Caenorhabditis elegans: one gene and its partners. The protein of the gene in region 2 purifies or fractionates together with the protein of the main gene of each other region. This does not show direct contact. Each region holds a gene or a part of one and is shown on either strand. Other genes may lie near its edges.

Evidence for each region.
Region 1: the proteins of arid-1 (region 2) and edc-4 purify together in Caenorhabditis elegans (affinity purification with mass spectrometry, with the first as the bait; one large-scale study listed by BioGRID). This does not show direct contact.
Region 3: the proteins of arid-1 (region 2) and sca-1 purify together in Caenorhabditis elegans (affinity purification with mass spectrometry, with the first as the bait; one large-scale study listed by BioGRID). This does not show direct contact.
Region 4: the proteins of arid-1 (region 2) and mbd-2 purify together in Caenorhabditis elegans (affinity purification with mass spectrometry, with the first as the bait; one large-scale study listed by BioGRID). This does not show direct contact.

The regions. Positions count from the first base shown.
Region 1 is NC_003279.8:3,344,674-3,352,681, forward strand, and holds the start of edc-4 (FHA domain-containing protein), read right to left. Parts: upstream 5,219-8,008; coding exon 5,169-5,218; intron 5,092-5,168; coding exon 4,944-5,091; intron 3,948-4,943; coding exon 3,819-3,947; intron 3,774-3,818; coding exon 3,661-3,773; intron 3,599-3,660; coding exon 3,460-3,598; intron 2,343-3,459; coding exon 1,815-2,342; intron 898-1,814; coding exon 765-897; intron 338-764; coding exon 1-337. Other genes in the region: W05F2.7 (Hyphal_reg_CWP domain-containing protein), read left to right, coding at 7,790-7,892.
Region 2 is NC_003283.11:182,337-190,619, reverse strand, and holds the start of arid-1 (AT-rich interactive domain-containing protein arid-1), read right to left. Parts: upstream 4,454-8,283; 5' UTR 4,316-4,453; coding exon 4,313-4,315; intron 4,254-4,312; coding exon 4,146-4,253; intron 3,362-4,145; coding exon 3,202-3,361; intron 2,551-3,201; coding exon 2,385-2,550; intron 1,319-2,384; coding exon 313-1,318; intron 1-312. Other genes in the region: cul-3 (Cullin-3), read right to left, coding at 6,167-6,298, 6,720-6,931.
Region 3 is NC_003281.10:10,810,208-10,819,977, reverse strand, and holds sca-1 (Calcium-transporting ATPase), read left to right. Parts: upstream 1-3,133; 5' UTR 3,134-3,167; coding exon 3,168-3,200; intron 3,201-3,250; coding exon 3,251-3,332; intron 3,333-3,379; coding exon 3,380-3,594; intron 3,595-4,018; coding exon 4,019-4,157; intron 4,158-4,211; coding exon 4,212-6,269; intron 6,270-6,324; coding exon 6,325-6,674; intron 6,675-6,724; coding exon 6,725-7,027; 3' UTR 7,028-7,446; downstream 7,447-9,770. Other genes in the region: klp-7 (Kinesin-like protein), read right to left, coding at 9,228-9,534, 9,582-9,770.
Region 4 is NC_003279.8:6,060,260-6,067,178, reverse strand, and holds mbd-2 (Methyl-CpG binding protein 2/3 C-terminal domain-containing protein), read right to left. Parts: upstream 3,092-6,919; 5' UTR 3,088-3,091; coding exon 2,908-3,087; intron 2,776-2,907; coding exon 2,650-2,775; intron 2,523-2,649; coding exon 2,298-2,522; intron 2,116-2,297; coding exon 2,014-2,115; 3' UTR 1,892-2,013; downstream 1-1,891. Other genes in the region: pigo-1 (GPI ethanolamine phosphate transferase 3), read left to right, coding at 281-372, 714-838, 883-1,184, 1,299-1,388, 1,453-1,570, 1,630-1,737, 1,789-1,891, 3,540-3,663 and 6 more; E3 ubiquitin-protein ligase ari-1.1, read left to right, coding at 6,227-6,292, 6,503-6,589, 6,633-6,919.

The DNA of each region.
Region 1 (8,008 bases), on a different chromosome or scaffold from region 2:
ACACTTTCCACATCGATACTAGAAGTCTGTGGAGCAACCTTCATCAGAAGACCTCCAGAATTTTGTAGCTGTTGGTGCTCTGGGGTCTCAGTGTCCACATAAACCGAAGGACTTGGCTCTTTTTGTGAAGATTCTGCTGCAACAGTACCAACTGGGGATGGAATATGCTGTTTCAGTGTCAATTGTAGCTCGACCATACTCCTCTTGCCCATTGCCACAAAATGCCGCTTTATCTTGGTATGCTTCATCCGTGTATCTGATTCAGTTCCATCTGATTCATCTCCGCTCTCCTCATCGTTGCTATCATTGTTGAATAGGTCATCTCCAGAGTCTTCAGCTGCAAAAAAAACGATGGTTTTGGGAGGCACCACGTTTTCAAGATCTAGATCTACATTTTCAGGATCTGGCACGGTGCCAACTTTCCCAGTTTTCTTGAAGAAAATCGAAACAACGATGCTCTGATATTACGCATCGAGCGTTGTGTAGCGTTCAGAAAAGCCTTTTTTTGAAAGAAAAAATTCTGGAAAACGCTAAACAAGGCGCGATGCGTAATATCGGAGCATCGTTGTTTCGAATTTCTTGGAGAAAACTGCGAAAGTTGGCACGGTGCCATATCCTGAAAATGTAGATCTTCTTTTCGTAGATCTTGTTTCCGACTAGATCATGAAAACTTGATTTTTGTGAAATTCAGGTTTTCCGATTTTTCTTAACAAAAAATCAAAAAATTTCGGTTTTTTTCGCATCTGGGAGCTCAATCACGCTACCATTTTCAAAAGTGTTCGACGAAATCGGGGCAATCGAGAAAATCGAATGGCAAAATGAGGTCTGCGTAATTCCAACGAAACGTGGCTGCTCGTCTGTACGGAATGGATTTCGGATTTCAATTGTGAAGACGTTCTGAAAAAATGGGAATTTTTGGTTAATTTTGAAGCCTAAGCCCTATAGTTTTTACCAACAATTTTCCCGGCAAACACCGCAAATTGCCGGAATTGACAATTTCCGGCAAATCGGCAAACCGGCAATTGCCGCTCGCCCCTGCTATACACGGAACAATAATTTAATTTTTTGCTGTATTAGTATCAAAATGGCCCAAAAACCGAATTTCAAAACGTGAAATAGGAAAATTTCTCAAAAAAGGTTTAATTTTAGCTAAAATCTTCAATTTTCCCAACTTTTCCTCGTCGTAGCTTTCGGAAATTGATTTTAATAGGATTTTTGACGATTATTTCGTTTTTTTTTTAATCGGCAAATTGACGGAATTCAAAATTCCGGCAAAGTGCCAGAACTGAAAATTCCGGAAAATCGGCAAGTTGTCCGAATTGAGAATTTCCGGAAAATCGGCATGTTGCCGGAATTGAGAATTTCCAGAAAAAACCCGCAAAATTGCCGGAATTGAACATCTCCGGCAACTCGGAAAATTGCCGATTTGCCGAAAATTTTGGTTTCGCACATTTTTTTTTGGAAATTTCAGAATTTCAATTTTAGTTCGGCAAACGGCAAATCTACAAATCGATAAATTGCCGGAAATGATGATTACCGGCAAACGGACAAATTGATGTTCGGCAAAACGGCAAATTTGCCGAATTTGTTGACAAAAAAATTTGCCGAACGACAATTTCCGCCACACCCTGATATAAATCACTAAAATAAGCAAAATAGTGTAATATTCAAAAAAAAAAATCAATTTTCGGCAAAATTGAAGGTTTTAGTCCGTTTTTCAAAATTTGAACCGTCCTAATACACTTTTTGATGAAAATTTCAAAGTTTTCTTATAAAATTCGGTTTTTCTGGTCCATTAAATAGACCAAGCTCACCATGCCATCCACATCGAGCAAATGCACAAAATTCGCTGCCGGATCCGAAATGCTAACAAATTTATTGATAGCTCTAGTGGTCTCGAAGCGAATTCTTCCGAGACACTTCCAACTCTGACATTCGTATAGAGCAACTTTATGTCCATCATTTGATACAACAACACATGATCTCCAGAATGGAAGTGACTTCCGACGATCCGGTGTCAAATCGTCAAGGAAGATCAGATCATCGATCAATCCATTCCTAGCGAATCCACGTGGCTCGAAACAATGAGCAGCGGTAAGTGTATTATTCTCTTCGTTAAAAGTGAAAAATTGTACGGGACCCTCGGTCTTGGCGATTGCAACAGCTGTAGAATCAGGAGATATACAGACTGAAGCAATTCTCAGATTCTTTTTATCCGGTTGATCAGAGAAATAGTGACAGAATAGTCCACCGTCCTCTTTCTTTGCATCCTCAAATTCGATAGTGTCTCCTAGACCCGCTTCTTTCAAAACTCCTAGATTCACAATGTACAGCTGGCGACCCTGGAAACAAATTGAGATTTTTTTCTTTTTGAAAAATTCAACAAAATCAGCTGTTTTTTAATTGAAAATGCGGTGTTTTTCTCTTAAAAAAGTAAGAAAAAATCAAGAAAATACAAAAAATTGAAATTATTTCAAGAAAATAATTTCACTATTTTATCAGCAGAATTATGAGATTTTCGCCGTAAAATACGGTGGAAGGTCTCGAAGCGACAGATTTCTAAAAAATTTAAATCAAAACGTGCGCCTTTAAGGAGTACTGTAGTTTTTAACTTTTTGTTTTATGCAAAAATTTGCAAAAAGCAGCGCCACACAGAAAAAGAGGCGGAGCGTAACTTCGCAAGCTTGCCGCATGGTTTTTCCACTTTTTTCGCCCGTTTCCCACTATTTTCAATGATTTTTTCCAATAAAGTTTCGATTTTAATTGTGTCATTTTCCTTTTTTAAATGAATATTCAATTTGAATCTCATAAAATTTCTAGGATAGTTCATGTTTTTTAAACCAATTTAACATGAAATATCCTCTAAATTTTATAAGAATAGCATTTTCATTCGAAAAAAGAGAATATAACGAGTAAAACCGAAAATTTATGGAAAACGGGCAAAAAAAGAAGAAGAAAAAACCGTGCCGCAGGGTTGCAAAAATACGTCCCGCCTCTCTTTCTAAGCGGGAAACCGAAAAAATCGAAAATTTTTCGACGACGCCATTGGTTCGACTACAGCAGGGGCGGGCGGCAAACGATTTTTTCGGCAAATCGCCGGAATTGAAAAATTTCCGGCAAATCGGTAAATTGTCGGAATTAAAAATTTCGGCAAACCGCCTGAATTTAAATTTTCCCGCAAATCGGCAAATCGACAACTTGCCGGAATTGAAAATTTCCTGCAAATCGGCAAACCGGCAAACTGCCGGGATAGAAATTTCCGGCAAATCGGCAACTTGCCGAATTTGTCGACAAAAAAATTTGGCAAACGGCAATTGTACTCCGTAAAGGCACTTTTTCATAGAAATATATCGCTTCGAGACCGGGTACTGGTGCAAAATCGGCTAAATTTTGTATCTATTTTTCTCGAAAATTTGAATTTTTTCCTCAATTTTCTCGAAATTTCGCCTCGACACTGACCAAGTAGACAGCAATCATATGAATAGTCTCATCATCCTCATCTTCACCCTGAATATACGGACACCACGAGAGTTTCGGTTGATCCTCGTTTCCCTGTGATTGATATGACGGCCAATTCACGATCGACAGGTATTTCTTTCTGAAAATAATTGAAATTCGATTTTTCTGGATTTTTTTTTCCAATTTTGTAGAATAACTAACGGATCGCATCTGTCAGACACCTCAAATACTACAAGTGAGAGGTCGGCGTTGAGCACGGCGAGGTATTTGTGATGTTGGGCGAAGGCAAGGTCGATTGTACGGAATGGGAAGTCCTGAAGCAATTTTTAAATTAAAAAATCAAAATTTGGCTTTTAAACCTTAAAACGGTGCCTTTGCTTTGTTTGCAAATTGATAAGGTTCATGGATTCACCGACAGACTCGTGAATTGAGCGGAATCCGACGATTGGTCCGTTTGACGTCAAAATTCTCCCGCGTAGATATTGAATCTGAAATAAAAAAATGTATTTAAATTCTGTGTTTTTTTTTTAAATTTACTTTAAAAAAGGAGTATCGTCAATGTGGGAAATTGTTTTAAAATGTAGTATTTGTATTCAAACTTCCAATTATTGCGAAAGAAAAACGGGAAAAATCCGTTAATATTCAGCATTTAACCGTTGAAATCGACGAAAGTGGCTGAATTTGAATTTCGCGCGCATTTGAAACCTAGGCCACTACACGATTTCTAGGCCATTTTCGTTCAACGAAATATTGATTTAAATGTATTTATTTCGAACTTTAATTTGTTTTCTTTCTTAGAAAGATTCGATTGATCCTCGTGGCAAAAATTTTGTCAAAAAAAAAATTGTCAAAATTTCGAAAAAAAAGAGCCAAATTTTGCTAAAATCTGAAATTTCGCACACTTTTCTTTGTCACAGCCGCTGGATTTTAGTTTTTCTGAAATTATCAGCCTTTAATCCTTATTTTGGTTATTTATCTCGCGGAAATTCGTTGATTGGGACAACTTTTAGGCCGATAGGCATCCAATTTTGATCATTTTTGGAATCCTATCGGCCAAAAAGTTGTCTCAATCAACGAATTTCCGCGAGATAAATTACTAAAATAAGGATTAAAGGGTGATAATTTCAGAAAAACTCAAATCCAGCGGCTGTGACAAAGAAAAGTGTGCGAAATTTCAGATTTTAGCAAAATTTGGCTCTTTTTTTTGAAATTTTGACCGGCCATAAAAAATTTTTGGAAAGTTTTTGTGAAGTCTCATTATGAAATTCGTTGGTTTTGGACCAGTTTTAGTCTATTTGAGCAAAATACCCAGAAACTCTACTCTCCCTTTAAATTTACATTTTCGACGATTTTTCTGACTTAAACTGCTGAATGTTAGCGGATTTTTCCCGTTTTTCTTTTGCAATAATTGGAAGTTTGAGTACAAATACTATATTTTTAAACAATTTTCCCATTGACGATTCTTAATTCTTTAATTCTCTTACATCTCCCTTGTGATCCATAATAACTTTTGTGTGCGCATTCGACGAATCCCGTTCTCGCCCGTTGTCAACGTCCGATGGCGCGTTCAACTGAACGGTCACATTATTGCCGATTTCGAAGCCAATCGACGACTTTTCTCTCGATATAGTGCTGTAAATCATTTGAATTTTTGAATTTCCATACAGGAAAACGATAAATAAATCGATATTCGTCCTGGCCCAACTCACTATTTCTCCACAACGACGTCTGGCGACTGCAAACCGTGTGAATCGACCATCGGAATACCCTGAAAACTTGGAAACCTTGATTTTTAATCAAAAATTATTAAATTCGGAACATTAAAACTGGTTAAAACCGAAAAAATTAGCAGAGACGCCGAGAGAACAACAAAAAAACACTTGCAAACAAGTGAAAGTGTTTCTGCAAATGTACACCGTGACGACAAATTGCGGACTGAGAACTCTCGATGGAAAGGAGACGGAGAAACGTGGGAATTAGAAATGTGAGGGAATAGATAACTTTCAAAGCTGAAAAGTGTATTTTGAACAGCGAAATATTAGTAATATAATAGTAACTCATTTGAGCCAACAATATTCAAACTTTTTAATTGAAATTCACAATGATTTTTTCTGGAAAAGTCACAGGTTCGTTTCAGGCATTCTCAAATTGTGGGGTCTCATTTATTTAATTAAAAATTTAAATAAATATTCAAGTATATACTTTTTACTTAAGTAAAAATATTTATTCTCAAATTCGCACCGAAGCTAGGGGGAAAACCCCTACTAGAGTTCAATATTCATGGTTTGTCCCTGCGATTTGACAGCTTCTCCATGCTTGTTCTTGAATCCGGCACGAAGCATCTCCACCTCATCCCCTTTATTCGGATTCTGACCTTTGCTCTTCGAGCCCAATTTTTGCATTTGGCTCATCTTTCGGCGAAATAAATTTTTTGATTTTAAAGTTCATATGTGGGAGTTGGATTAGCCACGTGGATATTTTCGGGAGTTCAGGGTCACGTTCACGGGATCATCATGTTTTAAAAATATTTATTCCCCCATTTTTACAGAATTTCACAAATTTTTTCTGTATTTTCAGAGGAAAAATTGGTTTTAGTTGTCACTGAACGTTCTGAACAGAGAAAAATTTCAGAAATACGGTAATAGGTCTCGAAGCGACCGAATTTTTTACATTGCAAAAGACAGCGCGCCTTTAAGGAGTACTGTAAAAAAAATCGAAAGATATGTGAAAATATTTTTCATTAGTATTACGGGAATACAAAATGCTGAGAATGCATATTGCGCAACATATTTGACGCGCAAAATATCTCGTAGCGAAAACTACAGTAATTCTTTAAATGACTACTGTAGCGTTTGGGTCGATTTATCGGCTCGATTTTTGAAATTTTTTGAAGTAAAAGATGATAGTAAGAGATGATAGTAAGAGAGTAAGAGAGTAAAAGATGATGATGGATTATTACTGCTACTAATGGAAAAAAATAATTTCAAAAATCGAGCCGATAAATCGACCCAAACGCTACAGTAGTCATTTAGAGAATTACTGTAGTTTTCGCTTCGAGATATTTTTCGCGTAAAATCTGTTGTGCAATACGCATTCTCAGAATTTTGTGTTCCCGTAATATGTAAACATTTTTAGGAAACGGGAGACCAACTAGAAAAAATCTGAAAATCCAGAGGTCACGAGAAATTGTGAACTACAGTACTCTTTAAAGGTACACACTTTTTTGAATTTATGAAATTGGGAGCTCTGAGACTGCAAAACCGCAAAAATTTACATCTGGGCAATATTATGGTAACTCATGCCTATCCACAAATGCCTGTCTCCCTGCTTTTTTTGCCCAAAAACTATGCGCCAAAATTTAAGACAACAATGACCACACAGAGAGCGAGTGAGAAAGAGGAGAGAGAGTACATCAAAAAACTAGACAATCATCCCACAGGTTAAAAAAAAGTTCTAACACTTTCGATTACGTCTCACTATATTCCCTCTTTTGTTCGGTCAAAGACTATCCAAATTTTGAAAAATAGAATCTATGAAATCCCCTCTTGATCCGATCTCTTTTTGAACACACACACACGTATCGACACTTTTTGGCCTCCCGATTTTTTTCTAAGTACACTTTTTTTTGAAAAGCAGGCCTACCTACAATACCTACGACTGAATTTTGCTTGCCTATCAGACCTACGCTTGCCTTGTACCTGCCTAAAAGACTTAGGTATGTCTTGTGCCTGTCTACAATACCTAGGCTTGTCTTGTCCCTGCCTGCAATACCTACGCCTGTGTTTTGCCTGCTTAAAAGACCTAGACCTACTTTGTGCCTGCCTATAACCCCTACCAACATTACCTACGCCTGCCTACAAAACCTACACTTGCTGATGTTTGCAAATTAATACTGACCAACAACCTTCGAGATCACTCCAAAATCGCACTAAAATAGGCGCAGGCAGGCATGTAGGCAGGTGTGAAGGTATGCCTACCAATGCCTACCAAACTATATAGTTGTCTGTGCAGTTTGTCAGTTTTCCCTTTCTCAGCCACCGTATTCAATGCACCATATCCTACGCGCAAAATTAGCGGCGTGCGTGATGTTTTTCAGACATTTTTGCAACGTGATTAGCTGGAATTTAATGTTTACAATTTCCTCGTGTTCCTTGCTCTTTTCTCTCTTTTTTCCCCAGAAATAATCACATTTCTTGGCTGTCTATGTGCATGTTACCATAGTGATTAAATCCACCCGCCCCCTTTTTTCAGAAAATAAGAATTCTAGAAAAAGAGAGAAAAAGTGAAAAATATAATTTCAGGAATTTTGACGAATAGGAGAGCAAATTGAATGGGTTCCGCGCAAGAAATTGCGCTTTCCCTGCTCTTTTTGATTGCTTCCACAAGTGCTCAGGATTGTCAGAGTGCTCGGTTAACTGCAACGGATGTTTTAGGTGAGTTATTAAGGTACCTTTTAGGTGAGTTGTTAAGTATTTATCATGCTTGTAGGCTTATCAGTTACCTGCCTGCCTATGTGCCTACCTCAGACCTACCTGCCGTTAGGCTGCAG
Region 2 (8,283 bases):
AGTCGAACAATTTTGGATTTTCTGGAAAATATAAAAATCACAATTTGTTTTTTTCTGACAAAAATCGGAAAATTGTAAAATCTTAAAATGTTCGATTCCTCTAAATTCGAATGTTATTCATTTTAACATTTTTTTTAATTCATAAAACTTAAAAATATCGTTTTTTTTTTCAATTTTCACCGAATAAAAGATAAATTTATTAGCTTTTAGAATTTTTTTTTAGAATAAAAAAATTTCGTTTTTTTCGATTTTCACCAAAAAAAACTCAAAAATTTCTCAACGTTTTCAAAATTCGTAAAACTAAATATCAACCTTCTCCGTTCCCCGTTCGATATATTTCAAAATTCGACGCGCCTGTGTGTAGCTCTCATGTATCACAACAAATCGAATCTTCTCCCTTTCCAGGCCCTCGAGCCAGCTTCCAACCCAATCTCGTCGCCGTTGACTTCTCAAAAGCTTCTCCGTTCGGATTAAGCTGTACGCCTGATCCTCGCTCGTCCTCCACCACTGAAGTGCGTACCGTGCAAAGTACGACAATCGAGCCTTGTGAGCAACGAAGCGCCAAGCAAAGTAGAGCTTCACGTTGCGAATTCGAGAATTCACTTTTTGCCGATGCTCGTGTAGATAGAGCTTCTTCTTTTTCCGACGATGCTTGAGATCCGAGAATCTCGCAAAATAGCGTACAGATCTATGCGAAATGATCTGTGTCATCGACTTTTCGTGATTCTCCTGAATCCTGGCATTCGAGGTCCGATACACCTTTTCTAGCCGCTTCAGCTCCATAATTCTTGCTTTTTCCCGCCGCTTTTTCTCCCGATTCTCCTCTTTCAACCGAAGCTTCTCTTCTCGTTCCTCCTCTTTCAGCCGTTGTTTTTCTCGCTTCATTGCCTGTTTTTCGAGTTTTCGCTGCAGAGTTTTCGAGAGAGCTGCTGCTGATGATGCTCCATTGATGACTGGATTTTCGGAATCTGTGGTAGCCAGATCCTCCTGATCCTCTTCGTCAGATGTAACTGCTGATGAAGCTTCATCCTTCCGTTTCCGTCGGCTTCTCGCTCGTTCTCGTTCCTCACTGGAATCCGCCGACGATTCTTCGCTCTGTGTGTCCTCTATCGCTTTTTTTAGCACTCCTATTGCTGAAATTGCGGCGGCTCGCCGTCGTTCTCGTGGTTGTTGCTGTTCTTCTGTGTCATCATCATCGTCGTCGGCGTCTTCTTCATTTTCACCATCTTCCTGATCTTCTTCGTCGTTCTCATCGTCGTCGTTGTGAAGAAGAACGGCGCCGCCACGACTTCCAGACGCTTCGGAAATAGCATTTCGGCTGAAATTTTTGGTTTGAAAATATCAAAGAATCGGAAATTTTTAGTTTTTCAATTTTTTTTTCAGTTTTTCATTTTTTCCCCCGATTTTTCGACTTTTCGTTAAAGGAGGACTAACGGTTAGAACGATTTTGAACGTATAGACCCAAAATGAGGTCAAATGAACGAATTTCGTAATGAAACTGCTCAAAAAATTTCCAAAAATGTTTTATGGCGGTTCAAAATTTTGAAAAAAATTACACTGATTTTTGAAAAAATCCAGAATTTTTCCCATTTTTCCGTGTCACATCTGTCCGAAGTTGACTTTTTTCAAATTATCGTACTTTATTGCATATATTGGTATTTAATCTCATTTAATTTCGTCGATTAAGGTACATTTAAAGCCGATAGGTAGCCAATTTCGATGATTTTTGGTTACCTATCGGCTTCAAATGTACTTTAATCGGCGAAATTAAATGAGATTAAATACCAATATATGCAATAAAGTACGATAATTCCAAAAAAAGCTAACTTCGGACGGATGTGACACGGAAAAATGGGAAAAATTCTGGATTTTAGCTAAAATTAGTGTAATTTTTTTCAAAATTTTGAACCGCCATTAAAAATTTTTGAAAAATTTTTGAGCAGTTTCATTACGAAATTCGTTCATTTGAGCTCATTTTGGGTCTATACGTTCAAAATCGTCCGAACCGTTAGTCCTCCTTTAAAACATTTTTTTAGAGTGGAATTCTGCGTTTTCCAAAGAAAAAAAATGTATATTTTTGAAAATCGAAAATTTATAAATTTTTTCTTTTTTCCCGATTTTTTCAACAAAAAAATCGAATTTTCAATAATTTCTGGTTATTTTCCAATTTAAAAAAATGATTTTCGTTTTTTAACGATTTTCCGAGAAAATTGCAAACTTTCGATTTTCAGATGCAATTTTTGAAAAATTTCAGTCAAAATCGTTATTTTTATCGAAAATTCTTGATTTTTGTGGATAATTATATGTGATACTTTCGCTCGGAAAAATCCAAAAAATATAGATTTTGAACCAATTTTTCCAGATTTTCAAAAAAACTTCCGCACATTTTCTGAGCTCCACGTTTTGCGGCGCCACGTATTACGGGCGTTGAGAAGGATTCCGGATTTGTTAGCGGCATTGAGTCGAGATTTCCATCGGCTGCAAAGTGTTTTCCACCTTTTAGGACCAGCTGAGTGCGTCGGAGCTCTTTTTCGTCGCCATCGTTGAAAACTGGAAGAAATATTGATTTTTTTTGGGCAATTTTTCGGTTTTTTCGCATAGAAAAATCGATTTTTCAGTGATTTTCAGGATTTTTTACGAAAAATTAATTTTTTCCGGCATAAAATCAAGGTTAGAATGATTTTAGCATCAAAAATCGATTTTCTCGACTAAAAATTGACTTCCAAGGCAATTTTTCGGTCCTTTTCTTGATTTTTGGTATGAAATTAAAATTGGTTCGGCTAAAAAATAATTTTTCTCACTGAAATTTTCTTATGGACAGCTTTTTTTTGGTTTGTACTAAAAAAATGATTTTTTTTTGCAAAAAAATGAATTTTATAGATCATTTTTCAGTTTTTCTATCATAAAAACCGATTTTTAGTGTGATCTTTCGGTTTTTTGCGACAAAACCGTAATTTTTTGGCAAAAAAATGAGTTTTTCTTCGACTTTGGAATTGAAAATCACGTTTTTTGGCTGAAAAATGATTTAAATGGGATTTTTTTGGGTTTCTACCTTAAAAAACTTTTTGTGGGAAAAATAAGTTTTTTGGACGTTTTTCGCCACTTTTGATCGAAAAATTGATTTTTTGGTGGTTTTTGCAATTTTTTTTCACTAAAAAATTGATTTTCACGATTTTTCGACACGTTTTCAGCCATACTGACCGACGTGGTACTTGCTCTGATCCTTGATCGATTGAATTTGACATCGGATGAATTTTCGCTGAAATACGACGTCTGTAAGCTCATTTATCTCGAATTTTGCGTTCGGTAGATCATTGTCCTGCACAATCATCTGTCCAAATGGGGATTCTTTGAGCGAAACCTGAAAATTTGAAATTTTTGGGGAAAAATCTCGATTTTAGACGGATTTTCTATGTAAAATTGTATGAAAATCACGAATATAACAGAAGCATGACGAATATTCGTCGAAAAAATCGATTTTTTGCGGGATTTTCAGGAGAATTACCAGCTAAAATCATTTAAAACCGTCATATTGCGGAAATTATACGAAAAAAAAAACGATTTTCAGTGGATTGGATTTTTAAAGGAAAATGTCTAACTAAAACCCGTTTATATGCGGAAATTTGGTTTAAAAAAATATTTTTAAGCGAATTTTCAGGAGAACTTCCAATTAATTCGAAAAAATCAATTCTCAGCGGATTTTCATGCAGATTTCCAACGAAAAATGACGAAAATTCCTCGAAAATATCAATTGGTGGAATCTTGAATTTCAGGTGAAAATTATGATTTTTATCTTATTTATGTTTGTTTCCTGGGTTTTTTTCACGTTTTCGAGGGTTTTTATCAGATTTATAAGCATTTTTCACTAGCAAGCGAGAAAATTATCGCAAAAATCGGTTTTAAGTGGAAAATCTGCTGTATATCGACTTTTAAGAGGATTCTGTGACTTTTCTTGCTCAAAAACTGTTCTTCCAAAATTTCCGGGGTTTTTTATCGGATTTATCAGCGATTTTTCACCCCGGAGCGAGAAAAATGCGGATTTCTGCATTTTTCTGAGCAATTTTCAGTTTAATTTCGTAGATTTTCGATTTCCTGCTTCTTTCTTCGCGATTTTTCTTCAATTTTCATCGATTTCCGTTGCTCACCTTCACTTTAAGACTCCGATCGACTTTCTGAATTTTCGCCTCGCAGTAAGCGCCTTTAAACTTGGCGCTCACCTCTGTTCCGAGCGCTAAAAACGCCGGATCGTCAGACTGAAATTAATTAAATGATTTTAAAATGAAATTTCTCCGAAATCTATTGAAAAACCCACCATTATTATTATAAGTAGCCACTACTTTTCAAAAATTCGCCGAATTTTGCTAGTTTGAGATGAAAAATATATTTATTGTCCAAAATTCCGAAAATCCTCGGCGAGTCCAGCTCAATTCATGGATTTATGGATTTTTTATCTGAAAAATTTGTGAATTTAATGTGGAAAATTGAAAAAAGCCGGGAAAATTATAATTTCAGGCGGAAAAACTCGAGGAATTTGATTTTTTCAATGAAATCTAGCGAAAATTATTAAAAACTACGATTATTTAACCAAAATAAGACATTTATTATTAAAAATGATTGAATTTTGAAAATTTGGAACATTGAAAGCCGAAGCAACAAAAAAAAATTTGTGAAAAGCGCGCGCGAATGACTGCGGTGACTCTTGTCTTCTCTGCGTCTCTTACCGCTACAGCGTGGGGCGAGTGTGTCTCTCTCGTCGATGAGAGAGTGTAGAGAAGCAGACATTCACTGTTTTTCGAAAATCGCGCGCGCATGAATTTTAGTATTTTAGCGCAGAAAAAATTGGGAAATTCCGGAATTTGAATACAAAAAAATTGGTTTTTCGAGTTTTTACAGTGAAAATTTAAATTTTAAATGTAAAAATACGATTGAAAACCTCTAAAAAGTGTTCCGACTGATTTTTTGCGATTTTCAGCAGGTTTCAAAGACAAATTCTAATTTTTGATAAATAAATATGAATTTTAGAAAGAAATACAAATAAAAATATTTAAAATGTATTGAAAATTGTATGGAAAAGCTCGGAACAATTTTTTTCTGAAAACACATCTTTTAAAACATAAAATAAATAGTAATTTGAGTTTAATTTCATTTATTTTTCGATTTTCAACAGATTTTCCAAGTAAAACTTTAATTTTTGATGTAAAAATGATTGTTTTTTAAGTAAAAATACGATTAAAAAACCTTTTTTGCGGAAATTTTCAATTTTCGCGCTAAAAATGTGGGCCCCGGTCTCGGCACGACATTTTTTTTTTGTAAAATCCAAAAGTGTGTGCGCCTTTAGAGAGTACAGTAATTTCAATTTTTGGATTTAAAAATAATAAATTTCAGCAAATAAGTGAGAAAAACTCTGGAAAATCAATGAAAATTTCAAAAATTGCAACCACAGTACAAAAAAAAATATATATATTTTAAAACGAAAATATGTTTTAAAACGCTTTGAAAATTTATAGAAAATAGTGGTGTTACGGTATCTGCAAAATTTATAACGTTTCGAGACACATCAGGTCTCAGCTGAAAACAATCTGGAGGAGGAAGCATTTATATAAATATGACATTTTGTGCTCAATGTTCAGTGGGGGAGGGGTAAAACGATAATGGTAGAGGAGAAAGAAAAAAATGAGATTAAAATCGCAGGAACTTGCCTTCACACACATAAAAAGGGGACCAAGGGTGTCGGTTTTTTTCGATTTTTTCTAAAAATCGAACATTTTTCGTTTTTCAATTCATCCCAAAACTTTTTTGAAATCGATTATTCAATGACACCCTTGGTGGGGACAAAAACTTTCAGGGGTGGATACTATCTGGATAGGGAGCAAATTTGACGAGATGATATAATGAAAATAATAAAATAATTTTGAAATGATTTGGGGGAAATAATGAAAAAAAAAGACCCATCTACATACAAATGTTCAAGGCAACATCAGGTCCAAGAATCGAGTGAGAAAAAAAGAGAGAAGGAATAAATAAATAAATTTAAATGTAAAAATAACCACAGAAATTACGTATTTATGAACAAATCGTTGTTGCTGTGTTTTAAGAGAATATAGCAAAAGTAAATGGAGAGCAGATGAGAGTGAAAATCATTGGAAACCAAACGAAAAAATCGACCCTAGGCAATGTATTGATAGGCACGATGATCGTGCTCATCGCGAGCCAAATATTCTCGCTCGATCAGTGTTTCGATGCGTTGCTTGATGATGATTGGTGACGGCATGAAGCGGTGGCGCAGTTGTTGGGTCACCTGGAAAATTGTTTTAAATTTTTGAAAATTGCAAAAATCTGCAGCGAATTTGGGTTTTTAATTGGCGTTGTTGTTGTTGTGCAACCGAATTTTTTTTTGAAAAACGGGAAGTCAAAAATTCGAAAAAAAAACTTAGGTTTTTCGAAAAATAGCTCGAAATTGAGCCCATTTTTATATTTTTGATTAAAAAAAAACATTTTTTTTCCGACATCCTCGACAATCTAAACACGATATATAAATCAATGTTCCTTTAAGAGTTGTGTAGATTTACGAGTACGTGTACTATGCGTGAATATTCATTTTTTGGCAACATTCACACTTTTTTCTCATTCTATATCGTATTTTTTGTTTCGTACTTCGATTTTAGCTTTAAAAAATATTTGAATATTTAAAATAAAAAATATAATGGAAAAATGCTCACCTCTGCCACCAGATTATTGTGATTCAACTTCTTTCGGGCCTTCATAATACGAACAATCGCCGCCTCCACTTCCAACTTTCGATCATCCTCAACTTTCTGGCGAGTTTCACGAATCTCGGGCTCCGATTCCACTTTTCCTGTCACCATTTGCACTTTGACACGTGTCAGCTTCGATTGGAAGTTGTCGTTGACGGCGAACTCGTCACTCATGTCTGGAAAAATTATAAATTGAAATTATCGATTTTTCTGGGTGCTTTTTTAATAGTTAACGTAAAATATTCCAAAAAACATAAATTTCCGTATGAAACAGTTCAAAAACGTGAAAAAGGCAAATTTTACTAGGGAATGGTGTTACCCCTGCAATCGCTAGGAGGACAAAACAAAGTGAAAATGGAAGATCAGATCTATGGCTACAAGAATCAGTTTTTGGAATCTGCTTAACTCGGTCCCAAAGCTGAAATTTTCGGTCTTAAAAAGTAGTCCTTTTTTTGCTCAAAATGCCGTTTTTCGTGTGTAGAAGTGGCTACATAAAAGTTTGGCACTGCAGCCGCCGTTCGAATGGCCGATTGGTGAACTCTTGTGCTCATTAATCTAAAGGTCACGGGTTCGTTCCCCACTAGGTATTAATTTTTTTTTGAATTTTTCCTCTAGCATGAAATATGCACAAAAACACGGTTTCTTCCGTTTTTTGGTAACTTCGGAATAAATTTTTTGGTTCCTGGGAATCATAAAAGTAATTTGGAAACTTTTTGGAAGTTTTCTTTTTTTGATAAATTTTCACTTTTCTCCCACCTGATGTATGCACATTTTTTTCTTCAAAAATAATTTTTCAAAATTTTTTCAAAAAGTGTTTGGTTTGAAAGAGCAGCATTAGTTTGGATATTTCTACGATTTTGGAGGATCAAATGTCATTTTTAGGAGAAAACCACTGTTGTTTTCTCTAGACTTTTTCACGAAAAGGACCTACTTTCAAAGACTTCCAGCTCCGTTGACGAGTAAAATAAAAAAGAGTTGTCAACTGCAAAGTTATTTTAAAAGTACCAATAAACAAATTGTCAGTTGAAGTTACTCTGCTAAATTTTATGGGTAGAGAGATATGGACATTAGTAATTAAGTAAGTTAAAGCTTCACTTCGATTAGCTATATCTCTCTACCCATAAAATTTAGCAGAGTAACTTCAACTGACAATTTGTTCATTGGTACTTTTGAAATAACTTTGCAGTTGACAACTCTTTTTTATTTTACTCGTCAACGGAGCTGGAAGTCTTTGAAAGTAGGTCCTTTTCGTGAAAAAGTCTAGAGAAAACAACAGTGGTTTTCTCCTAAAAATGACATTTGATCCTCCAAAATCGTAGAAATATCCAAACTAATGCTGCTCTTTCAAACCAAACACTTTTTGAAAAAATTTTGAAAAATTATTTTTGAAGAAAAAAATGTGCATACATCAGGTGGGAGAAAAGTGAAAATTTATCAAAAAAAGAAAACTTCCAAAAAGTTTCCAAATTACTTTTATGATTCCCAGGAACCAAAAAATTTATTCCGAAGTTACCAAAAAACGGAAGAA
Region 3 (9,770 bases), on a different chromosome or scaffold from region 2:
TTTCACGTGAACCTCCGGGATCGTCGGTAAGCCCCGCCCGTTATCTGTGCCAACTTGTCTTCGTGCCCTCGAGCGACGAGCTCATTCAATCACGCCACGACCTCCGTCTGGACAGATGCTCTCATTGTCTCTGCGTCTCCAAGTATTCGTCACACTATCTCATGCATTCTATTCAAAACGCGAGAGAAAGCGCGGGAACGAGAGAGAGTTCAGACAGATCGAACTTGTTTTTATCCCCCCCCCCCTCGTCCGGCTGCAGAGCAAAAAAATACTGCTTTTCCTTGCAAAATTCGGTGCTTTCTTCAAAGAGAAACTTTTGAAGTCGGCGCGAGCATTTCCTTCTTTGACTTCTCTCTTTCCGCCAAAAAGCCTAGCATTTTTATTGATAATTTGATTACACACACTCAGAGTTCTTCGACATGATAAAGTGTTTCATTGGCACTCGCCCTAACAGTACATGACAAGGGCGGATTATTATCGATCGATATTGAAGACAAACTCCAAATGTGTGCTCATTTTGGAGCCCCGTGTGGGGCAGCTGCTCTCAATATATTACTAGGGAGACGAGGAGGGGGACCTTATCGAACGTCGCATGAGCCATTCTTTCTTCTTTATGCACTCTCTTCACTCTCTCACACATTAATCGATTCATAGACTCCCATATTCCTTGATGAAGGTGTGGGTTTTTAGCTTTTTTTCCCGATTTGTAAAAGGAAGAGGCTGACGATGTTAGGAAAAAGAGAACGGAGCCGAAAAAACATCCGTAGTAAGTCTTCCTTTTAAGCCGACACTTTTTAGACAGCATTCGCCGCTAGTTTTGAAGTTTAAATTTTAAAAAATAAAAATTAGTTTCAATTTTTTTTAATTACTAAATAGGCAAAAGTTTTTTCAAGAACTCTAGAAAAACTAGCTTAATTCATGGGTACTAGAAAAATTCTTGTTTTAAATTTAATATTTATCTTAAGATGTAATTACGAGAAGCTTTTTTGAAAATTCTCAATTAAAAGAATTTGCCGATTTAGAATAAAAGTCTTCAGAAATGAGTAAAAGCTCAAATTAGAAGTTTGTTTTTAAAGGAAAAACACGAAAAAAGAACACTATTTATCTTTTCCTCCCCGCGTAAAATTAGTTGTTGTGATAATAGTGATCCGCTGTCTATTTGCACTCGGCTCTTCACACCGTGCTTCCTCTCACTTGACCCAACAGGAAAAAAAAACATCACGTCTGAGACGGTGAATTGCCTTATCAAGAGCGTCGTCTCTTTCACCCAGTAACAAAAAAAATTTGGTTTCTTTACTTTATATTTATGTAGGTCACAAAAAAAAAGTGATGCAGTTTTGTGGGTCGGTTGTCTCCACACCACCTCCGCCTCCAGCAGCACACAATCATCTTCGTGTGTTCTCGACGATTCCTTGTATGCCGCGGTCGTGAATGCACCACATTCGACGCGCAACTACACACCACACTCACTTTCGGTGGTATTACTACACGTCATCGTTGTTCGTAGTCTCCCGCTCTTTCGTCCCCACTCACTCCTCATTATTCCCCTTGGTGTATTGATTTTTTTTAAATGGTACACCACTCCTGACGTTTCTACCTTCTTGTTTTCCGTCCATTTAGATTTTATCTGGAAATTTTTTTAAAATTTTAGGCCAGAGAGTTCTAGTTCTTGTTCTAAAAGTCTAGGTCAGACATACATTTTCTATTTCTCATCAAAAAAAAAGTTGATAAAGAAAACTGGTTATTCAGAAAGAGTGTGTCTCGTTGAAATTGATTCAAAAAAAAATTCCCACCCCTCGCTTGTTTCTCAAAATATGAGATCAACGGATTTTTTCCTTCTCGATTCAATTTTTTGCTGCGCTCTGTCTGCCAAAGTGTGTGTGTCCGAGCAAAAGATGAGAGAATTTACAAACAGAAATGAAAAAAAGTTGGCCAAATAATGAAGTTTTATCCGAGATTGATGGGAAAGATATTAATGTTCTTTACGGTTTGGAGGGGAGAGAGAGATAGATTTTCGCATCAAACTCCGCCTTTTACATGTCTTTTAGAATCTAAAATAGATTTTTCTCATCATTTTTAATAGAAAATCGAGAAATTACAGTAATTTCGCAATTTTCTTGCCAAAAATACACGAAATTTGTGGGTCTCGCCACGATCTCGGTCTTAGTGGTTCATTTGGTTTAAAAGTTTATAAAATTTCAAATTCTAGTGTTTAATTTCCGCATAATTGGACCTAAAATGGGTTTTTGTCATCATTTTCAACAAGAAATCGTGAAAATCCTGTTGTTTCGCAATTTTCTTTTCAAAAATACACGAAATATATGGTAATTTCCCGAAATATTGAGGGTCTCGCCACGATTTCAGTCACAGTGGCCAGGATTTATCACGAAAAAAGTTCGCCTAGTCTCACATTTCCGGAAAACCGAATCTAAATTAGTTTTTTGTCATCATTTTGAACAAAAAATCGAGACATCCCTATAGTTTCGCAATTTTCGTCGCTTTTCTCTCCAAAAATGACAGTCTAGAATTAAAATTCGCTGGAACTGGGACCATGATATCTTTTCTCCCCGTTTTTCATTTTATTTTTTATTACACTGGATTGACTAAAGGTCACCACCACCGCCAGTGTGTGCCATATCACACACACACACACACACAATGTCGAGATTTTATGTGTTATCCCTGCTTGATTTCGTTCCGTTGTCTCTCTCTCTCTATTCATCTTTTGAGCCGAGAAGCTCCAGAGAATGGAGCACACAGGATCCCGGCGCGCGATGTCGTCGGGAGATGGCGCCGCCTGGGAAGCCGCCGAGAGATATCAGGGAAGATCGTCTGATTTCTCCTCGGATGCCACCTCATCTCTCGAGTTTCTCCGCCTGTTACTCCCTGCCGAACCTGATATTTCCCGTTGTCGTAAAGAGATGTTTTTATTTTACTTTACACCGGGTCCTCTCTCTCTGCCAGCACAGCTCAGTGTTGGCTGTGTGCTCGGGCTCCTGCCACCGGCGGCCTCATCTTCTTCTTCTTCTTCTCTCCTGCTCTCGCTTATCACTTCTTCATTCATTCTTATTCCTTTTCATCATCAAACTAGCATTTCTTACTTTATTTATTTTTTTCAATTTTCAATTTTCAGATAAAACCAAACTACTTGGGTTACAGCCGTCAACATGGAGGACGCGCATGCCAAAGACGCCAATGAGGTACTTTTATAGTTTTTAAATTTTAGTTTTTAATACAATTTATTTTCCAGGTGTGCAAATTCTTCGGAACGGGTCCGGAGGGATTGACTCCACAGCAAGTTGAAACATTGAGGAACAAATATGGAGAAAATGGTTGGTTTTTTACATGGATTTCTCATTAAAAATTGAATTTTTTCCAGAAATGCCCGCCGAAGAGGGAAAATCACTGTGGGAGCTGATTCTCGAGCAATTCGACGATCTTCTCGTCAAGATTCTCCTCCTCGCCGCCATCATCTCGTTTGTGCTCGCCCTTTTCGAAGAGCACGAAGATCAGACAGAAGCAGTGACGGCGTTCGTCGAACCGTTCGTCATCCTTCTCATTCTTATTGCCAACGCGACCGTCGGAGTGTGGCAGGTAGGAACAACACAGACAGGCGCACGCGCTGAAAGAAAATAAGAAGAAGAAGAAAAAGCACAGTTGTTTTCTGTGTTTTTGTAGATCAAAAGAAAGGAACTAGGAGTGATTGCACAGAGAGAGAGAGAGAGAAATAATGTCTTTTTGACTTGTTTTTGTTGGTGAGAGAGATAGGGAAAAAGAGTCCCTAAAGAAAAAATAGTGTAACGGGCGGTCCGGAAGAAATGCTCTTTGCGCCGAAAAGTTTTTGAAAAAAGAAGAAAATGATGAAGGAAAGGCGTGCGTCATGAGCTTCGCATTTACGTACGCAAAAAGTGAGGGATATGTGAAAAAGATATTGGGTGATAGAATAGTTGATGGATTGGGCTGCACTATTTGCCTCAATTTGCCACAAATTTCCATCTAATTTGTCATAATTTTCCAGGAACGAAATGCTGAATCGGCCATCGAAGCGCTCAAGGAATACGAACCAGAAATGGCCAAGGTCATCCGATCCGGACACCACGGAATTCAGATGGTTCGCGCTAAGGAACTCGTGCCAGGAGATCTTGTCGAAGTTTCAGGTTAGCAAAAACTTTTTTTTTTAACTTTCAAATTTTAAACCATATATTTTTCAGTCGGAGACAAGATCCCAGCCGATCTCCGTCTTGTGAAGATCTACTCCACCACCATCCGTATCGATCAGTCCATCCTCACCGGAGAATCTGTGTCTGTTATCAAGCACACCGACTCTGTGCCAGATCCACGCGCTGTTAACCAGGACAAGAAGAATTGTCTGTTCTCGGGAACCAATGTCGCATCTGGAAAGGCTCGTGGAATCGTCTTCGGAACCGGATTGACCACTGAAATCGGAAAGATCCGTACCGAAATGGCTGAGACCGAGAATGAGAAGACACCACTTCAACAGAAGTTGGACGAATTCGGAGAGCAACTTTCCAAGGTTATCTCTGTTATTTGCGTTGCTGTTTGGGCTATCAACATTGGACATTTCAACGATCCAGCTCACGGTGGATCATGGGTTAAGGGAGCAATCTACTACTTCAAAATCGCCGTTGCTCTTGCCGTCGCTGCTATTCCAGAAGGACTTCCAGCTGTCATCACCACGTGCCTTGCCCTCGGAACTCGCCGTATGGCCAAGAAGAACGCTATTGTAAGATCCCTTCCATCCGTCGAAACTCTTGGATGCACATCTGTTATCTGCTCTGACAAGACTGGAACTCTCACCACCAACCAGATGTCTGTGTCAAAGATGTTCATCGCTGGACAAGCTTCTGGAGACAACATCAACTTCACCGAGTTCGCCATCTCCGGATCCACCTACGAGCCAGTCGGAAAGGTTTCCACCAATGGACGTGAAATCAACCCAGCTGCTGGAGAATTCGAATCACTCACCGAGTTGGCCATGATCTGCGCTATGTGCAATGATTCATCTGTTGATTACAATGAGACCAAGAAGATCTACGAGAAAGTCGGAGAAGCCACTGAAACTGCTCTTATCGTTCTTGCTGAGAAGATGAATGTTTTCGGAACCTCGAAAGCCGGACTTTCACCAAAGGAGCTCGGAGGAGTTTGCAACCGTGTCATCCAACAAAAATGGAAGAAGGAGTTCACACTCGAGTTCTCCCGTGATCGTAAATCCATGTCCGCCTACTGCTTCCCAGCTTCCGGAGGATCTGGAGCCAAGATGTTCGTGAAGGGAGCCCCAGAAGGAGTTCTCGGAAGATGCACCCACGTCAGAGTTAACGGACAAAAGGTTCCACTCACCTCTGCCATGACTCAGAAGATTGTTGACCAATGCGTGCAATACGGAACCGGAAGAGATACCCTTCGTTGTCTTGCCCTCGGAACCATCGATACCCCAGTCAGCGTTAGCAACATGAACCTCGAAGACTCTACCCAATTCGTCAAATACGAACAAGACATCACATTTGTCGGAGTCGTCGGAATGCTTGACCCCCCAAGAACTGAAGTTTCGGACTCGATCAAGGCTTGTAACCACGCTGGAATCCGTGTCATCATGATCACCGGAGACAACAAGAACACCGCTGAGGCTATCGGAAGAAGAATCGGACTCTTCGGAGAGAACGAGGATACCACTGGAAAAGCTTACACTGGACGTGAATTTGACGATCTTCCACCAGAGCAACAATCTGAAGCCTGCCGCAGAGCTAAGCTTTTCGCCCGTGTCGAGCCATCTCACAAGTCCAAGATTGTCGATATCCTTCAATCCCAGGGAGAGATTACTGCTATGACCGGAGACGGAGTCAACGACGCTCCAGCTTTGAAGAAGGCCGAAATCGGAATTTCTATGGGATCAGGAACTGCTGTCGCCAAGTCTGCATCTGAAATGGTTCTTGCTGACGATAACTTCGCATCCATTGTGTCTGCTGTCGAAGAAGGACGTGCTATTTACAACAACATGAAACAATTCATCAGATATCTCATCTCATCTAACGTCGGAGAAGTCGTCTCCATCTTCATGGTCGCCGCACTCGGAATTCCAGAGGCTCTCATTCCAGTTCAACTTCTCTGGGTTAACTTGGTCACTGACGGTCTTCCAGCCACTGCTCTCGGATTCAATCCACCAGATCTTGACATTATGGACAGACATCCACGTTCAGCCAACGATGGACTCATCTCTGGATGGCTCTTCTTCAGATATCTTGCTGTCGGAAGTACGTTTAAAAAATTCCCCTAAAAAAGTATAATTCTAAAATTGAAATTTTCCAGCCTACGTCGGAGTTGCCACCGTCGGAGCCTCAATGTGGTGGTTCTTGTTGTACGAGGAGGGACCACAGATCACCTACTACCAGCTCACTCACTGGATGAGATGTGAAATCGAGCCAGACAACTTTGCCGATCTTGACTGCGCCGTATTCGAGGACAATCACCCGAACGCCATGGCTCTGTCCGTGCTTGTCACCATTGAGATGCTCAACGCCATCAACTCACTTTCCGAGAATCAATCGCTTTTAGTGATGCCACCATGGAAGAACATCTGGCTGATGGCCGCCATTTCCCTTTCGATGTCTCTTCACTTTGTCATTCTCTACGTTGACATCATGGCCACCATCTTCCAGGTATCACAATTAATCATATATTAATCGAAACATCTAATTCAAATCTTCAGATCACCCCTCTCAACTGGGTCGAATGGATCGCCGTGTTGAAGATCTCACTGCCAGTGCTCCTTCTCGATGAAATTCTCAAGTTCATCGCCAGAAACTACATCGACGGTAAGCCGGAGACGGTCGGCGCGAAGGCACGTAGTGCCATCTCGCTGCTCGCCTGGGTGTCTGTGACGCTCGCCTACTTTGCGTGGATGTTGGGCCCGTACGCCGAGCTCATTAACCATGCGCTCGTCGGTCCATCTGTCGATCCGTCGAAATTCGACGCGGTTGTCACGCCCGACAAGTTACATAACGAATTGTGATTGAAGTTCTTCTAACCCCCAAACCAACCGCCTCTCAAACAACTTGTGATGATTTCTCTTTATTTTCTCTCTCTTTCTTGTTCTAATCATTTTGGGCCTTTTTCCCTTTTTCTCTCTGCAGTGTGTTAACTGATCCATAATCCTTCGTGTAAACCCCCCTCTCCCTACTTTTAGGATTTCTTCCTCGTTGCTCATTGTATTTTGTCCAAATCGCCACAATTTCCCTACAAATATATATGTTTTTTTTGCTAATTTTTTGTGTTTCCCTTCCTTCTTGTCCACTGAAAGTTCTACGTCTCTCGCTCTCCACATCCCCATTGTTCTCCCCTTTTTTCATAATAATTTATTATTATCCTTTTTTTAAATTAATTTTTGTTGCGTGTGAATCTATTAGGAGCTCACAAATAAAAGTGATCCTTTAAAAAACCTTACTTCCTTCTGTTTTTTCTCTAACCTAACCAATGTGTCTGTTCAGGGAGTGCCTCTTTTCTTTACCGAATGGTGTGCAATTTTGTCGACTGTCGATCTCGTCCATGGCAATGCAGGATTTGAAACTAAATTTCCCTGGAAAAAGAAATAATTTTGGTGATTTTCAGTTGAAGCTCCAATCAAGGATAAACGCGACTAAAAATGACAGTGCTCCCTCAATCAGAGTGAGCCCAGCCGCCGCCCATCTCATTTTTCAGACTCTTTCATATTTTCTAAGTTTTCCAATTTTTTTTCTTTTGTAGTGCGATCGTTTTCGTTTCGAGACCCGAAATCGAAAGGATCTCTTTTAGAGATCTTTAGGATCTTTTTTCTTTGCTCAACTCATCATTCTTTGTTTTTTCTTCTATATCCTCTTGTTGACGGTGATCAGACAAATTTGTTAGAAATATTATTACATTTCCTTTAGGTTTCTTCTATTAAAAAAAAAGAAAACTTCTGCTAAATTCGTGTACGTTGTCTCTCCCATTTCTCATTAAAAATCGATATTAATTGTAATTTTTGGTTTGTCCTCCAGTGTCGTGTGCGCCATCGATGGAAATAAAAAAGTTTCAAAACTATTATAGCTTTTCTTTTTATGAAAAATATAAAATACAATTAGAATGTTTTTGTTAAATGCGATACGGTGTGCGCCTTTAAAGAGTAGAGTACTGTAGTTCCAAAATTTTGTTGGTGCGGGATTTTCATTGATTTTTCATCGTTTTTCGACAAAAATATATTTATTTATTGAAAAAAGTTAAATAAAACTATTAAAAACACAGAATTTTTAACAAATTGTGAAAAACACATGAAAAATCGATGACAATTCTACAGTAACGAACATTTTGAATTACAGTAATCTTTAAAGGCGCGCACACGTTTGCATTTAATTAAAATGTGTCGTGTCGAGACCGACTACCACGTCTCGTTATTATAGAACGAGCAATTACAGCCTAACATCAACTCAGAACAAACCAGGATCCCACGCAAGTTTAAAGGAGCATGCTGGGTATCACAACGATTTTTTGAAGAGAACGAGGCCCCACGAAACGGGGAGCAGAACGAAAAGGGGATCTGCAAAAAGGGGATCTGCAAAAAGGGGATCTGCGAAAAGGGGAGATATGAAAAGGGGAGATACGAAAAGGGGAGCTGGCACTGTGCCAAACGCACAAAACGCAATTTTTCTCACGCAACGCACGTTGATTTTTGAAATTTTCTTCTAGAAGATACGCTTAACAACACGCGACGCGTAACATCGGAGCATCGTTGTATTGTTTTCTTCGAGAAAAATAGCGTTTGGCACAGTGCCAGATCTCCTTTTCGTATCTCCCCTTTTTCGTATCTCCCCTTTTCGTATCTCCCCTTTTCGCAGATCTCCTTTTTGCAGATCCCCTTTTCGTTCTGCTCCCCTTTTCGTGGGGCCTCAAGAGAACGACTTAATTGTGCATGAATTCCGGAACAGCCACCTTCAAATTGAACACTGATTAAACGAATAAAATGGTTCATTTAAAACGGAACCGAGAAAAAATGGGGACCCGTAAAATATTCACAACGAGAGGGGAAAAAGATGGAAGGGGAGGGTCAAATAATTTTCACATACCCTAAATGAAATAAATACGGTAAAATATTGGAGGAATGCGATAAAAATAAATAGAAAATGGTGAATAATGAGGGGGGCGGGGAGTAATAATCATGGTACATGAAGTGGGTAGCATATCGTCGCGGGAATCAGCAATCAGACGTTTTCCACGGCGACACGGGTGTTCGAGACTATCTGCGCAAGTTGATCAAGCTTGGCGAGGCATTCGGCTTTCTGGGCAGCACTCGGCTCGTTGGAGAGGACAATCGTCGTTTCGCGTATGATCTTTTCAGACATATCTTTCAGGTTCCGGACGTGATCGACCGCTACTCGACGATGTTCTTGCTTCTCGACCATCTCATCGTACTCTTCATCCGATTTGTCTGCCGATGGGGGCAGGAACAATTCCTCGTCTCGAATTGGGGTTGCTTCGCCGCTTCCGTCGGTTCCCATTTCTTTGACACTGAAAAATGTGAATTTTTTTTAGCAAAAAATAAATAAAATTCCTACCGATCCGCGTAGCGAAGTGTGTTGAGCGTGTGATCACTCGACGAGATCCCTGGCGAAATCATCGAGATCATCACTGTCCTGGACTTCTCACCGATGAAGCTGTCTCGGAGAACCATCGTGAGCTTCGACTGTCTGAACGGGACATGTGAGCTGTTGCGAGCCATTCCACGGATGCACTCCTTCAGTGCG
Region 4 (6,919 bases), on a different chromosome or scaffold from region 2:
ATATTGACTTAAAAACACCCGTTGTCTCGGCCGACCGAAACTTTGTTTTTTTCTTTTTAGTGCAAAAACTGTATATGTATTGAAGAATTATGGATACAAAATTTCTCGAAATGAGAAAGAGAAATTTCGAAATATTTGTGAGTACTGTAGTTGCAAAGTTTCGGTCGTTTTGAGAACGGGTACCGTACTTTCCCGTCAAATCTCGCAGAAGATCGCAACTGTGAAATATTTGGATTTTTGTCAGATATCACAATTATCAAAGTCATCAGAGACATTCCAGGCTTTCCTTGTTCCCAAATCAATTCTCAAAAACAGCAGCCTACGATTCATTCGACATTAATGATTTGAACACCGTCGATGATAAAATTGCTCGTAAGATTTTTTTTGGAAAGTATTATAATAAAATGGTATTTTGCTTTGAAGGACGTAAAATAATCAGAAATTTAAGAATGCCAACAAATGCAAAAATGAATTCAACAACGAAGTTTTTCGATTTTTCCAGATTTTTCTATTTGAATTTCGTCCAAAATAAGAGGACGCATCCACTTTCAAAACATTCATTCGTTCATAAATGGACGGAGCCATTTTCTGATTGGTTTTGTAGTTCTCATTTTGGAGGATGTTCAAACAGGAGAATCTGCCAAAATTTGAAGAAAAAACGCGTTTTTTAAAGTTGACTATTTCCGGTGAATAAAAACAAAATTCCTTTCCAGCGATTCTACAAGATGAAATGCTCAATTCAAACTCATCAATCATTATTGCTCATTTTCTCGGAGTTGATCACTGTGGACATAAATTTGGACCATCTCATCCAGTCATGGCAGACACTCTGCGAAAAGTTAGAGTTTTTTGGACGTTGACCCATTTCATCTTTCTTTCCAGATGGATCGAATAATTGGTCAAACGATCGAAACAATGAAATCTGATGATCATGGAATGACATCTACAGGAGATCATGGCGGAGAATCTGAAAATGAAATTCGTGCAGGAATCCTTGTACACTCAAAAAAACATCAAATTATTCTTCCTGAACGTCCAATTCATCAAATCGATATTGTTCCAACAATATCTCTTCTAATGGGTCTTCCTATTCCATTTTCCAATTTAGGAACTGTTATCACTCAATTATTTACCAGAGATTTATGGGAAATTGCGGTTGGAATGAATTATGAGCAAGTAAAAAGGTGAAACTTAGTTTTAAGAATTGTAGAGGCAAATGATGGGTTTCGTGTGGCAGGACTCAGTTGGCATGTGCCTTTAAACGTTATTTTCACTCAAAAAAGTTTTTAAAATTCTAGATTCGCGGAAACTTACGCGGCGCAGAAAAATTTCGGCGAACTTCATTCTCATACAATTCGCGATTCAAATACAATGGAAGAACAGCTCGAGTGAGTTTTTTGAACTACAGTACCACCTTGTGGGCGGAGTTTTGATGTAATAAATGTTTTCCAGCACAATGTCACGAATCCAGACACTTCTTCGAGTATCGTGGACTCAATTTGATGATGCTTATATTAATGCTGGAATATTCTCACTCGTTGAAGCTATCATGTTCTTGATTACTAATGAGGTTGGCCTTTCGATTTCTAGAATTTGTGAGACCACGTGTCAAATTGTTCATTGTTTCAGGTGATGTCTTTAGAATGGATAATCTATCGAACGGGATGTGGTCTCCTTCAGGCAGCACTTCTCACTGATAAAACTGATTCCGATGGGAGTGCCAGAACTTTGTTACTGGTAATTTTCTTTCACCCGCCAGTTTTGGTGGAATAGTTTCTAAAATTCCAGATGACTCTCGCGGTCTCGTGTCTCTCCTCTATCATATCAATGTGTCATAAAGCTTTGCAAATTCGGATATCGATAAAATCGATGCTCTCGGCAAAAGTAATAGGTAATTCATTGTTCATCAGAAATATAGTTACATAAAAAAAAAGTTAGCAGGTCCAAAATTGGAAAATAAATAAATAAATAGTAAGATCGAAAGTATTTTTGGCGTATATAATAAGGGAAACTTCATCCAAAGTACTTCATAACCTCTTGAAGTCGTTTACGGGCATCGAGGACACGTTTTTCTTGGGAACTGATTTCTTCGACGATGTGTGCAATTGGAATACGCTGAAAATATGAAAAAAAAAATTTAAAATTGTTTCTGAAAAAAGTCAGAATATTTACTGTTTTGAAATTTCTGGTTTTCTCAAGATATCATTTTTGATTTATTTTTTTCTAATTAAAAAAGGCTTTTCCAGAGCAAGAAAAATATTTTTCGAGATTTTTTAAATGTTTTCAACTGGGCTTACCTCACAAAGTGGCTGATCATGGAGAGCTAATCCGATGAAATTAACATCGAGCTTATCTTTGTTAGCTGCTTGTCCGAATGTTCCATTTGTCATAAATCCATTGTTCATTTGTTGGATTACTGTAGTCATTGCCTCTTCTGGAGTAAATGCAGACACTCCTGGCTTGATCAATGAGATCTTTTTAATTGATTCGTACGAGTATTCTGCCTTTTTAACGTCACCGATCTGGAAATTAATTTATGTTTTACTTGTTTTTATACCAGTTCCACAATTCTTTGTTAGAAAATGTCTTCCAAATTTAATGGTTCGGAATTAGTTTTTTCGTGTTGAGACCCCAAACATTTCAACGAACCCTGTCTGGTTTCTCGTGTGGGATGGATACTTGAAGGCCACTGAGACTCTTTGCCCACATTGCCTGAAATGGTCTCATTTCTGTCTTCCGCCGAGATCGCCGTTTCAATAGCTCGTCGTTTTGCACCTGGAAATACGATTATATTATAGAGGACAAGGATTTTTAAATCAAATTAGTTTATTTGATGGGGAACAAGTTTTTGGGCGATATCTTCAAAATCTTAATACTTTGGGAGAAAGTTTTCTTTAAAAATCCCACCTTAGTCTCTGGCTGTGCTGTGGTAACTTCTGAAACATGCTGGGAGAATGTGGTGGGACACTTTCTGACCACTAAATCCCAATTTCCATCGAATCCAGTTTTGATGTCCTTTTCAACTGGACGAGCCTTTACCGGACGCCCGGGACGACGTTGTCGGAACAGAGCATCTGCTTTTGCCATTTTTCTAGAAAGAATGGTAGAAATGTTTTAGTTGAATTATGAAAAGTGTGCGAAGATTAGAAAAAGAAAACATCGGTTTTTTGAAATATTTGAGCTGGAAAATGAATCAAATAACGGGTCATGCATTTTAAAATTCAATATTTGAATTATCATCAACAGTTTAGAAACAATCGTAGTGAAAAACGTGGTTTCAAATTCAAAAACCTCAAATTTATGAGAAAAAATCAATAAAATGAGCATAATGTTTAATTGCTGGATACGCAAAAAGAGGGAACGCTGGCCAACAGAGGTGTGCGTCGGAGCGCGTTTGTGTTTATACGGTGAACCTAGGGGAGGGCAATGAACACAGAAAGCGAAAAAAGTGAATGAAGTGAGAATTTGCTCGTAAATGGACGTGAGCAAAAATATGAACTAATATGTGTTGAAATATTGTCTTAAAATCGAGTTTTCAGGCCCAATTCTCGTCATAATCCATTCGATTAGTCTTTTTTCGAACAGTTATGTGGTCTACGAAGCTCAAGTTGTTCGATACTTTTTGCAATCACTCGTTACTCTCGTGTTTCTTGAAAAATTGCGGTTAGCAACTGAAATTCAACCGAAACATTACTAAAAATTATTTTTTCAGCTCGACTGCGTTGCGCCCTCGGAAACCGTTTAAGCTAAATTTTCTTTGGAAATTTGTAAATCAAGATCAAAATCTAATAATTTTCACACTAATTATGGTTGGTCTGAGGTCGGAGCCCATTTTTCATAGATGTCGTGAAGAAGAAGTTGGATGTGATACATATTACCCTTCGAGGCAGGCTGGGAGTTTAACCAGTAAGTGAAAATTAACGAGAGTAGTTGAAAAATAAATAATAAGAAAGAATTCCAAAATTTGTCAAAAAATAATAAATAACGCTTGTCCGAGAGTAGTACACGGCTTCCCCAAGTTTCACATCTACCGTAGTCTGGCGAATGGTCTCGCAACGAAAGGGAATTTTTGTTTCGAAATTAATTTTTTCTTGGAGTTTTGTTCTATTGAGAGTCGTATTTTCAAATTACACTAACTAAAATGAGCGTAGTTTCTTGATTTTAAATAGATAATCTTTTAAATACAAAATTCTAAAAATATTTCCTAATTTTTCAGGAGACGCACAAGTTGTCCGACTTCTATTTGCTCTCGGATCTCTTGCTGTCGCCAATCTCTCGGTTTTCAAATATTACGGACTTCGAGATACCAAAAGTCAAATTGAATCAAACTCAAAGAGGAGTTCAGGTTGAGAAAAAGTATTCAGCGAAAAAAATTTTAATTTTCAGAAACAATTCGAATTCTCTCAGCAACATCATGGCTTCACATTGCAATTATTGTACTTCACTCAGTATTCGCATCATTGACACATGATGTCTCCAGAGCCAATTTGTCGGCTCATTCGCTTTCTGTGATTTCTTTAATTTGCGCTGTTCTCGCTTGGAGAGAAGGGTATTTTACGAGAACAATTAAAAGGCTTATCTACTCTCACAAAGGCAACTCTTAAATTTCAGAAATTCTGCGATATGTGCTCATTTTTTATTGATGCCGGTTTATATCTTATTTGGTGACGGGCTGATTCCGGCGATAATTATATTCATAGCAGTTTCAGTATTAATTGCTGAATTTGTGTCAAGAGGTGACAAAAATTGATAAATTGTTTTTCTTGAGAATCCATTATTTCAGAATTCATTGCATCTACAATCGCTTTGCTCATCCCACTAGGATTCTATCATCTTGGACATTCACCAGTTATCTCTTCAATTCCATGGAATGCTGCGTTTGTTGGAATTCCTGGTGGAACAGCTCTTCGTGTCCTCCCTGCACTTTTCGTACTCTTTCATCTCAACTTTTCGGCGATCTCATCGATTTTTGTGATCTCAAGTGAAAGTGAATCTAGTCAGAAAGTGAGAGATTTTACTGAAAAACTGAAAACTCTTTATAATTTCAGATGTCTGCACCCAACACAGCTTGGACGTTAACAGAAACTCTTGTATTGATGACAATACGGGCAACGCTCACTTGTTTGGTCTCTTCAATACATCGGCGTCATCTGATGGTTTGGAAAATATTCGCTCCAAAGTTCATTTTCGAATGCATTCTCACCATCGTCTTCATTTTCTCAGCCAATTTCTTTCTTATTTATCGACAGTTTTTTGGCGAGAAATTCAAGAATAGTGAAGCAAAAATAAATAAATTACATTGATTTTAATTTTATCTCGTTTTTCTTTTTATCACAGACATTTTCTTAAACTTACTGGTGCTCTCTACTTTTTTTACTTGAATTATGATTATTTTCTTGTTAAAAAAATAAATCGCGGCTTTTCAAAGAATAATATTTTATTTTAAACTTGGTCTTCATTTCATAAAGTATTCCAGTCAAATCAGCTACTTATTTGGAAATGTCTATGAGTATTGTGTTGAATTTCGCAACTTTTTTTTTGTTGGATGTTGCTCATTCATTTTCTTTCCTCTTCAGTTTTCCTCATCACTAAGTACCTCGAATTAACATTCTCATTAGGTTTTTCTTTTTTTTTTTCTTTATATATAAATGCTAAATTTAAGTTTATATCATTTCATGAATTATTTCTAAATTTTTATCAATCGTTTCCAAGAAATCGTATTTCATAAAAGGACTGTTTAATTAGTTTAAAAACAATTTTAAAATCATAAAACAAACAAATTTTATTAGTCGTCGAATAAAAGGCATTGTACGCAATTTTGATTGTACGCAAACACCGCGTTGTTTACCGTAACCCACAAAACTTAATTTGAATTTTAAAAATGTTTGTCTGACAATAATGTGTGTACCTTAAATCTTGAATTTTTGGAATTTTAAAAGAAAAAGGTCACATGGCTTTGTACGAGAACATTCGCAAGTGTGCCCCTCTGCGCTCCAAAATTTCTCCCACAAAACACGCTCGTTTCTCTCATTGGGTCTCTCGATTTAACCAACTGTCTCCGGCTGTTCTGTGCCTGTGCTGCGCTTCCTCTCTTTTCATTTTCTACTATTTCTTTCAGTGTTTTTCTTGGATTTTTTCTCTTTCAGTTAGGTGCGCGACTGGCAGAAAATCGATACATCAAATTGATTTTTTTTGATTGAGTGAATAATTGAGAAAAACTTTTAGAATGAGTTCCGACGATGAGATCAATATGGACGACAGTGACTCAAGTCAAGGAGAAATTGACGATGGGGTAAGAATTTTCACGTGACCTCTCAAAATGTGTAAATACGTGGCATTTGAATCGGTAACAGCCTGCTCTTTTTTAAATTATTTCGAAACAAAATGGACAACATCAGCAAATTGTCTGCAATGTCATTGTCGGTAGGAATTATTCAATTTTTAAAAATAAATTTGAAATTTCAAAGACTCGAAATAATGAGAAAGTTTCAAAATTTTGCAGTGTATGTCTGACGATGATGGCATCGTACTGGAGAGCCGCGAACAGAATAGCTCCGACTACAAAGATAACGGGGAACCGGATAATGAGGTTTTAAACCTACGATTTTCATTTAAAATATTCAAAATTTCAGGTGCTAAACCACGATTCCTTGGAAGCAGAGATGAAAAAGACAATAACAGATGTACAAGCAGTTCTTCAAGTGAAAACTGGTGTCTGTCGGATTCTTCTGCACAAGTATAAATGGAATAAGGAATCATTATTAGAACGATTCTACGAACATCCTGACACTACCACATTTCTTATCGATGCTCATGTTATTCCACGTCGCCAGGAGCGTTTGCCGGCTGGAGACGCGGAATGCGACATATGTTGCTCGTTGGGAGAACTCTCTGGGCTTTCTTGTAATCACAGAGCTTG